2 linked regions of the Drosophila melanogaster genome follow. The protein of the gene in region 2 interacts with the protein of the main gene of each other region in a biochemical or structural test. Each region holds a gene or a part of one and is shown on either strand. Other genes may lie near its edges.

Evidence for each region. Proteins that work in one complex are often made in the same cells at the same time.
Region 1: the proteins of Tom (region 2) and neur form a complex in vitro, tested with the Drosophila melanogaster proteins (one study listed by BioGRID).

The regions. Positions count from the first base shown.
Region 1 is NT_033777.3:9,030,706-9,035,752, forward strand, and holds the start of neur (neuralized), read right to left. Parts: upstream 3,027-5,047; 5' UTR 2,745-3,026; coding exon 2,474-2,744; intron 1-2,473. UniProt on the Drosophila melanogaster protein: Involved in neurogenesis. Interacts with other neurogenic proteins in the specification of the neuroblast versus epidermoblast cell fate.
Region 2 is NT_037436.4:14,967,559-14,970,834, forward strand, and holds Tom (twin of m4), read left to right. Parts: upstream 1-1,785; 5' UTR 1,786-1,868; coding exon 1,869-2,345; 3' UTR 2,346-2,748; downstream 2,749-3,276.

The DNA.
Region 1 (5,047 bases), on a different chromosome or scaffold from region 2:
GCTCTTTAGAAAAAAGCTAGCAAAGTTAGCACAAGCATCTTTGTGTATATCCCCAATAGTTAACAACTGGTATTTATAGTTAATCAGTTGCAAAACGTTTACACTTGTAGAGATAACATTTCGCAGTGTCCGTTATCAAAGCGCGAAATTAAGCAGTGCTTCATATCAGCTATATGAACTATACTATACTACAATAACTATACGCAAACTTCAGAATGACACATCGAGATGATGACCTCATGAGGGGGAGAAAAATAAGTGAAAAAATAACGAAGGGGATGCATGAAAGTGGAAAAATATAGCAACAGATGTATGTAGCGAAAATGCTCAGCATACAACTGTGCTCAACAGAAAATGGCTTACTGGGAAATCAACAATAATATGTTAATATTGAAGCAATATTAGCAAAATGTCTCTTAAACATTATGTTTACAGAAATTTGTTTTTAAGCGGCGACTTACATATTTTGAACTTAATAGAATAACATTTTAGGTCTCAGAAGTTAATGTATGTATATTTATGGTGACCAACATTGTACTTAGATATGTACTTATATGTACAAACTTCCTTGGGGGGTGCGTACCGTCATTAACAATTGACTATTTACTTTTGGCCAACAATCGAAGGTCGGGCGACAATTTGTATTTGTGTGTCCCATAATCGGGGTCTCAAAGACGAGTTGGCAGTGCTCAGTTGCAAGCACACGCACGGCCAAGCAAACCATTTCGAAAAGTAAACCGTGAGAAGCTAAGTAAAAGCCAAGAGCAGATAAACTTTTTAGCCAAAGCAAACGTGGCATGCCAACACACAATAATAATAACAACAACAAACAAGGTACGAAATGTAATAGAAAATGCAGGTACAAAAAAGCAAAAGCAGCTGACGCCGAGCAAAACAACAACAAAGCAATTTCATTGATTACCGATAGGCAACGCACGTTCAAAACAAACGGACTGGAGCCGCCGCATAAAACATAAACCATTGCGGGCTTAAGCGCTCAGCAGAAAAATAAAAACTCCAAACACACTCAAGCTTCAAAGCCACGCCTCTTCCTCTTCTCATCCCGCTAGTCCATGGCTCTTCTCTTCTTCTCCTGCCGTGGATCGTTTGCTTTTCTGTTGTTGCTACCTTTGTTTTTGCTTTTGCCGATGGCGGCAACGGCGCTTCGCGTACAATTCCCCGAAAGGCAACAGCAACAACAACAAGCAATACTGAATGAGGCAGATGCAAAAACAGTGGTGGCGGGAAAAATGGAATCTCTTAAATACAGTACAATATTTTGCATAGCCACTTTTGACAAATAAAACTATTCCAGTGCTGAAGGACTAAATTAATAACTTTTTTTTATTATTCATATTGCGTCGTTCGTTGATATTCGACTGCTAGTTGTGCGACCACAATTGTTCGTAGGAGGCCAGTAAAAATAAAAAAAAAAGGGGTAGAAGCTTAGCCTATGCGTCACTGGCTTTGCTTTGCTTTTGCTTCGCCTGCTTTGGCCAAAAAAGAGAGCATTGAAGCCGAGAATGCAATTGAGCCAAAGTCAAAAAAAAAAGGTGATTTGTTGTTTTTACTTCTTTTTTTTTGTCTTTCCTTAGCTCAGCTGCTTGCAACCAAAACAAAAACAGCGCAACAAATTCCCCAGCCCAGATAATCGTTATGATAAACATAATCGCTCCTTGGGAAAATTGCTTTTGGTGGTATTTTCTTCAACTCAAGATCCCTCCGATCTGGTCTTCTCGATCAATTTGCGGTTACTTGGGTGCGATTGAAAAATTCAGTTTTCGAGAACTGACATTTCCGGCGAAAAAGTCGGAGTGTCGATGTTAAATTCTGCCGAAAAAGCCTTGAGAGAATTTCACATTTAAGATTTTTTCGCGCTTCTTTTGTGTCTATCTAGTCGGAAAAAAACAATTACTATTATAATCGCAAACTGGGCGTGTTCTGGGTGAGCATTTATTCATTAGCTTTTTGTTTTAAACTAACTCAAACTTTTTCGGTTTTTGCTCTTATCTTTCGTTATTTGTTATTGTTCTTGAGACGTAAAATGCTAATGTATGCATAAATGATTGCGGCTGGCTGTGTTTCTCGCTTATTTATCTTGCCGCTTTAATTAACCGAATGAATGAAAGAGCGATAGGTCAGACCACATGCTAATATTATGTGGGAATATCGCTGGAGATAAAAATACGATTCCCAGATCGATGAATAATGTATTTAAGGCATTTTCGCACGCGGTAATTACATTTGCTTCAAGACTTTAATGGTCAGATATCACGAAGGAAGTTTTATATTGTTAAAATGTACTACATCTACTTTAGAACCCAATCACACTGATTTTAAAAATTATTCCTGGATATTCCGAGAATTGTACGTCCTTTGAAAAACGACTTGGAAATTAACTGAATATTCTTGTTAATATATCCATCGATATCCTTAGCCCGATTCTTAGCCTGGTACTAATGCGACTACTAACCCAATCCAAAGCGCTTCTTGATCTTCTTGAGCAAGTGCATTTTCTTCTTGCTAGAGAGCTTGTCCTTGGTGCTCATGAGCAGCTCGTTGGACTCCATGGCCAGGACCTGGGCGGCCTGCTGGGCGGGAGTGGGCATGGCGTTGTGCAGCTGCTGCATCTGTTGCAGATGCTGCAAGTGCTGCTGATTCTGGTGGTGCTGCTGCTGCGGATGGAGAGTTAGGTGCGGATGGCTGCCCTGCATATAGTTGGCTGGTATATCCGATAGACCCATGGTAGTGGATTATTTCTTATTTCGTTATTTAAATTAAAACAGACGAACTAAACGAACACGCGTAATGCTAATGAAAATGCACAAGCTGCTTGCGTATTTTATTTGGCATTAAATTAAGCGATAGAGTTCTTCTTCGAATTTGAATGTTTTCCGTTAAAACATTTTGAATTTGGTTGGTTGTTTGTCTGCGCGCAACGGGAACAAACGAAACGAAACGATACGAAACACAAAGACCGACGACGACAACTTCGAGACAACCTTTCGCTGAGTTTTTTTTCAACAAATAAACGGTGGTGCAGCCTTTTATAGCTTCGCACCAGCGCGACGTCGCTGACGCAGCTCAGCTGGAGAGTAACGGATAGTACTGGCGCGCAGAAATTCTCCCGTCAGATTTGGCTTTTTTTAGTATATGTTTTCAAGATATTTAGAAGTTTAGGTATGCCAGTAAGACATATTTGGAAATTTAAGTTTTTTATAATTACTATTAACGTTTAGTGACAATTTGGGCTGTAGATTTGAATAACATTTCCTGTTTTACAATTTAATTAAAATCAAGAAACGGTAACTAAATTACATTAAAAATGCTTCAATTTATTTAAACTTATAATTTGTAAGCAATCTATTCAAATAATTTAAAATTTATCCATTTTCTGGCTAAGGGCTGTCAGCCCTGAGCGTGGATGGAGCGAAAAAGAGAGCTCAAGAGAGAAAATTATGAGACGCCATCGCTCTCTTTCTCTCTCTGGCAGCTGTTTCTTATTTACTATGGTTTCGCTTTGTGCCTGCTATTCGCGTGTATAGAGCCTCCCTTATAATTTACCTTTATGCCTCTAACTCTGCACCTTGATCAGGGATTCCTCCACATCTTCTCCTGCTGTTGCTCTTCCTGCTTCTTGTTGTTGTTGCTCTAGGCCTGCATTTGGGATTTTGGCCATAGTGCTCTGATCTTCACTAACAGTTATTCTCCTCACCTTAGTGTGTGTGTAGTTCAGCCAGGTTCAAAGCAATTCTTTTTCTTTTTCGCAGGGTTTACAAGGTCTGGCTCATATAACTAGAAAACTATTTCAATTGCCCTAATGCTTTTGATCGTGAACTTTGTGGGCCAAATATCACACGTACATACATATGTGTGTATGTATGTACTCAGTTGGAGTATGTATGGAGTAATTCCATGGGAATTAAAAAAAATTCCCAAACGTTTCTTGATAATAATAATAAATTTCTTCTTTTCCCAATTGTTTTCGGCACATTTAATTGTCCATTTTGTATGTGCAATTTATTTTAATAGAGAATATGAAACGAGATTTGTTTTTGTTTTGATTTTTTAAGTTTGCACTATAAAGATTATAAAATGAAATGGAAAGTTTGTAACTCAATTCCCAGTTTTGAAACCATTAGCTTACACAGAATTTAAAAAAATGTACCTATGATCTGGGACACATGCTATTGTGGTCTCATTTGCTAAGCTTTAGCATTGTGGTCAGCAGGATAACTGCCGTCTGGCGTCTGATCATCCTTTATCCTTTATGGATGCCACGCTGCCATTGATGGAGGATGATAATTGCGCCGAGCGCTCCTTATCCTCATCCTCGTCCTTTTTGTCCTGCATCGACAGACGGAACCGGGCAGACCTCACAGCAGATGCAATTTTCAAGATCGGAAGGGATCAAGACGGGGCAGAAAGCATTTAAATTTTGATATTAAAGTGGAAATGCATATTCAGCATCCTGGCAGCAGGCGTGCGTCCTGGAAATACATCTGCTGCTGCTTACCCGATTTCCCCCTCCTGTTCGCTCAGTTTGCAAAAATGCAAAAAAGGTCGGAGAAGGTGATGTTGGCGAAACAGGAACCGGCAGACATCGAGACCAACGAACAACCCCAAAAATTGTCAAAGAATACAGTGATCATTGGATAGAAATATTTTTTATCGACTTTAGGTTAAGTAGAAATATTAAAAATGCAGAGTAAATATCCTTGCAATATTATTTCAAGCCCTAAACCAACCTTATTTTTAGGATACCATTTCTTTTTTTTCTTTTAAATGTATGAATACTTATGTATTATAATTGCGTATCATAGTTTTTCGCTTATCGATATCCACTGTACCCATCATGATCACCAACGAAAGGTGTCCATCTGCGGTTGCAGTTGGAAAAAGGATCCGAAAAGGGTTTGCTCTACTGTAGTGCGTTTCCCCGCGCAGCCCCTGCCATTGGTTTCGTTCTGTTTGCTTGCCAATTCCAGGTGTAAATTCATAGCAAAAGATACACAGATACACGGTGAAGAGGGATTTTCGAAGCGGA
Region 2 (3,276 bases):
GCAAAATAATAAACAGGTTTCCATTGCAAAAGGGAGAACCTTAAAACAAAGAAGCTCTGCGTAATGCGGGGCACAGCAATCAGACGGGGGCCAATTAGGGACCCTCTTAATGACCGTAAGGATAGCCAAAGGAACGAAACGACCGTTACAAGAAACTCGAGTCCTCGGAGCCGTTACAAAATTATGAAAGTAACCTTCGGGGGCAAGGGAAAAGGGCCCATAACAATTAGGAAGGCGACTCATAAACGAAGTGCCGACGAAATTCCACTAAAATGCGTAAACCGAGCCAAAAACCAAAACTCTGAAGATCCCTATCTGTACGTGCTTCTCCCGCGTCGAAAATTTTTCACGCATCAACAGAGCAGGTCCCTCGAACCGGGAAAGAACAACAATGACAAACAAATGCGATCGGAAGGAGCTGAAAAGGACCTGCCGAGATTTCCCGAAATGCGGCATTAATGCATATTGACTAACCTTGAGAGTCCGATCCCATCCCATTCCATCGCAATGCCAAGTACCCGAAAAATACGTTACTTTGCTCAACTACCTACAGGTTGGGAAAATAGGAAAAGGACGATCGGACGGAAGGACTTAGGGGCACTTTCTGGGCTGTCTCAATGAAATAACGGACAAGTCCCTTGTCCGTTTGGGTATTTCCAGCGGCGAGATTGTATCTCCGAGATATGCCAATCCATTGTTTGTCCATATCCTCCGTCTTTTTTCGGATAGTGTGTCGAATTTTAAAATCTCTCTTCCCTCACACTCTGTTATGGAATTTTTTCAACAAGTTTCGACTTGTCCGCTCGGTACTCTCCTGGAATTTTACGTTTGGGATTTAGGGACTTCTACTTTTCTTGCGACAGAGTCGAGCAGGTAAAGAGAGGTTGTGAGGCATGGTACTCTCAGAGGGGGCGAAAGATCGAGAACCGACCGAGATCTATGCGACTGTCAAAAAATCCGTTAAAAACCTGCAGTGAATGAGCAACTCGAGTGGGTAATACCCAGCATTTGAATCACGTGGGAAACATATGAAATTTTAAAGTAAATGACTTAGTATGGTATGCTATGTTCCAAAAAATAAATACCATTAGTAAAATACTAAATAATTGTTAAATATACAACGATCTCTTTGTATTTATTGTAATTTTACCGATGTACTTCCTACATACCTTAATTTAGCAGTGTGCTGTTAAGGAAAACTTTTTTTGTAAGGCTGTGCCGATCTTAATTATTTAATTTTAAATAGTTTTTAATTTAGTTGTATACCAAATATTTTAGGATACATTTTATTCTTGCTAGTCTTTTAAGTTTAATTTTAATAGAGTCCTTAAATATTGATATTTTTCATCAAGTTTATGATCTTATTACTATAGTTATTATAAATTCAATGAATTCAATTCAATTAAATTCAACCTTATATGGCCCCTTTCAATATTACTATTATAAATAATTTTTTTTAGAAAAAATACACTTAAAAGATATACACACAATAAAAACATATTAACCTTATTTTTCGTAAAATCTATTTTTTATGCACAGACTCAAAAATTCATCATACCCTGCTTTCTCAAGGGTAAGGACATGCTCCTGATTCCGAGACCGCTTTCTCTTGGCTCTCTTTTGTCTCCCGCTCTCACTGTTTGTGCAACCACCTGCAGGCAGTCTGCCTTCCCATTGGCTGGGTCCATCGATCGAGAGAACCGCCGCTCTGTGCGAGAATTCTCCCCCGCCGAGAGAAACCAAAGAGAGCAAATCGTATATAAGGAGTCGGTCGTGCAGCAGGAAAACCAGAATACTACCAACTCTCAACCGAGTGCAACCAACTAAGATCCCAAGTTTTATTATAAATCTCAACAATCCTCAACACAATGTCGTTCATCACACGGGAATACAAGTTTGAGAGCAGCAAGGTGATGGAGCCGAAATCAGATCAGCACACGATGGCCATGCGGAGTCTGAGGAAACTGGTCAAACCCCTTCTGCGACTGGTGAAGAAGAAGCAGCTACTCCGGAAGACTCTGGCCGAGATCCAGAACCAAAATGCAGTCAACGCCTCGCTGGAGGACATGCGCAAAGATCCGGCGGCCAGTTGCGATAACATGGCCAACGAGGAGCTGGAGCAGCGACTGTACACCGATCTCCGCCAGTGCCCCACCAACGTGGCCATGATCGTGCAGCAGGGTCAGCAACAGAGCATCGTGCCCGTCCATCCGGAGCAGACCTTCATCCCGGTCCACTTCGCCCGCACCACCAGCGGCACCTTCTTCTGGACCTCAGCCGAGGGAGCTCGCCAGCACCACGAACAGCAGTTGCGCCAGCAGTTCGACCGTTGGGTTCAGGCCTAAACATCGCCAGGATGCACAGTTCCACTTCTCGATGCACCGGGAAAAACTCCAATTGGCAGCTTTAAGTGCAAGTGTCTCCGTCCATTGGTCGTCGGATGGATGCGGGTTCAGCTTCGCATGTTCGTAATCTCAGGGTGATATTAGGCATAGATTGGATTCTTTGGGCTCGCGTCCCAAGGGAAACACAACTCTAATTGATATTCAATTATCACAATCAAGCGTTACTATCGTTAACTCATTGTGATTTATCGTGTCTTATTAGCCTTAAGTTAGTCTTAGCCGAATCATTGTCTTCCATGTTTGTTTGTTAGGGTCTTCGTATAAGAATTAGGCTAAGAATCATTGTCTTCCATGTAAAACTTTAGCTATAAACACTAATATCATATAAGAAATAAATAAATCGAAAAAAGGAAATTCTAATGTCTCTTTATTCTGAAAACTGATATGAAATAATATGAATAAGGTTGGAAAAGAAAAATCCCAAATTGAATGACCATTGTAAGTATAGTTAAATTCGGCTACTCTGTACAATTCTGATTTGAAGAATGGATTTTAAATTGGACTCGCTATGCTGGTGAACACATTCCAATTAGTGACTGCATTCATTCCTGCTTGGAGACCATTTGAATCCAAAAATGCTGCTGGTAGGCAGTTGGAAATACTTCCGTAAGAACAATAAAGAATTTTATTTACATTTATATTTAGCCTGACCACAGGCTAATATAATATTCACCAAATATTATTTTTTGTCTTTCATACAATTTCTGCATCTGTTATCGTTAAAATATGATTTTTGTTTCAAATATACCTAATATATACCTTTGTAGTATATATGTATTTATTTATTTATTCTATTTATATTTCGAAAATATTGGTATAGTAAATATCATATCTTTTCATATCATATTATGGTTCACACGCTTCACACGCA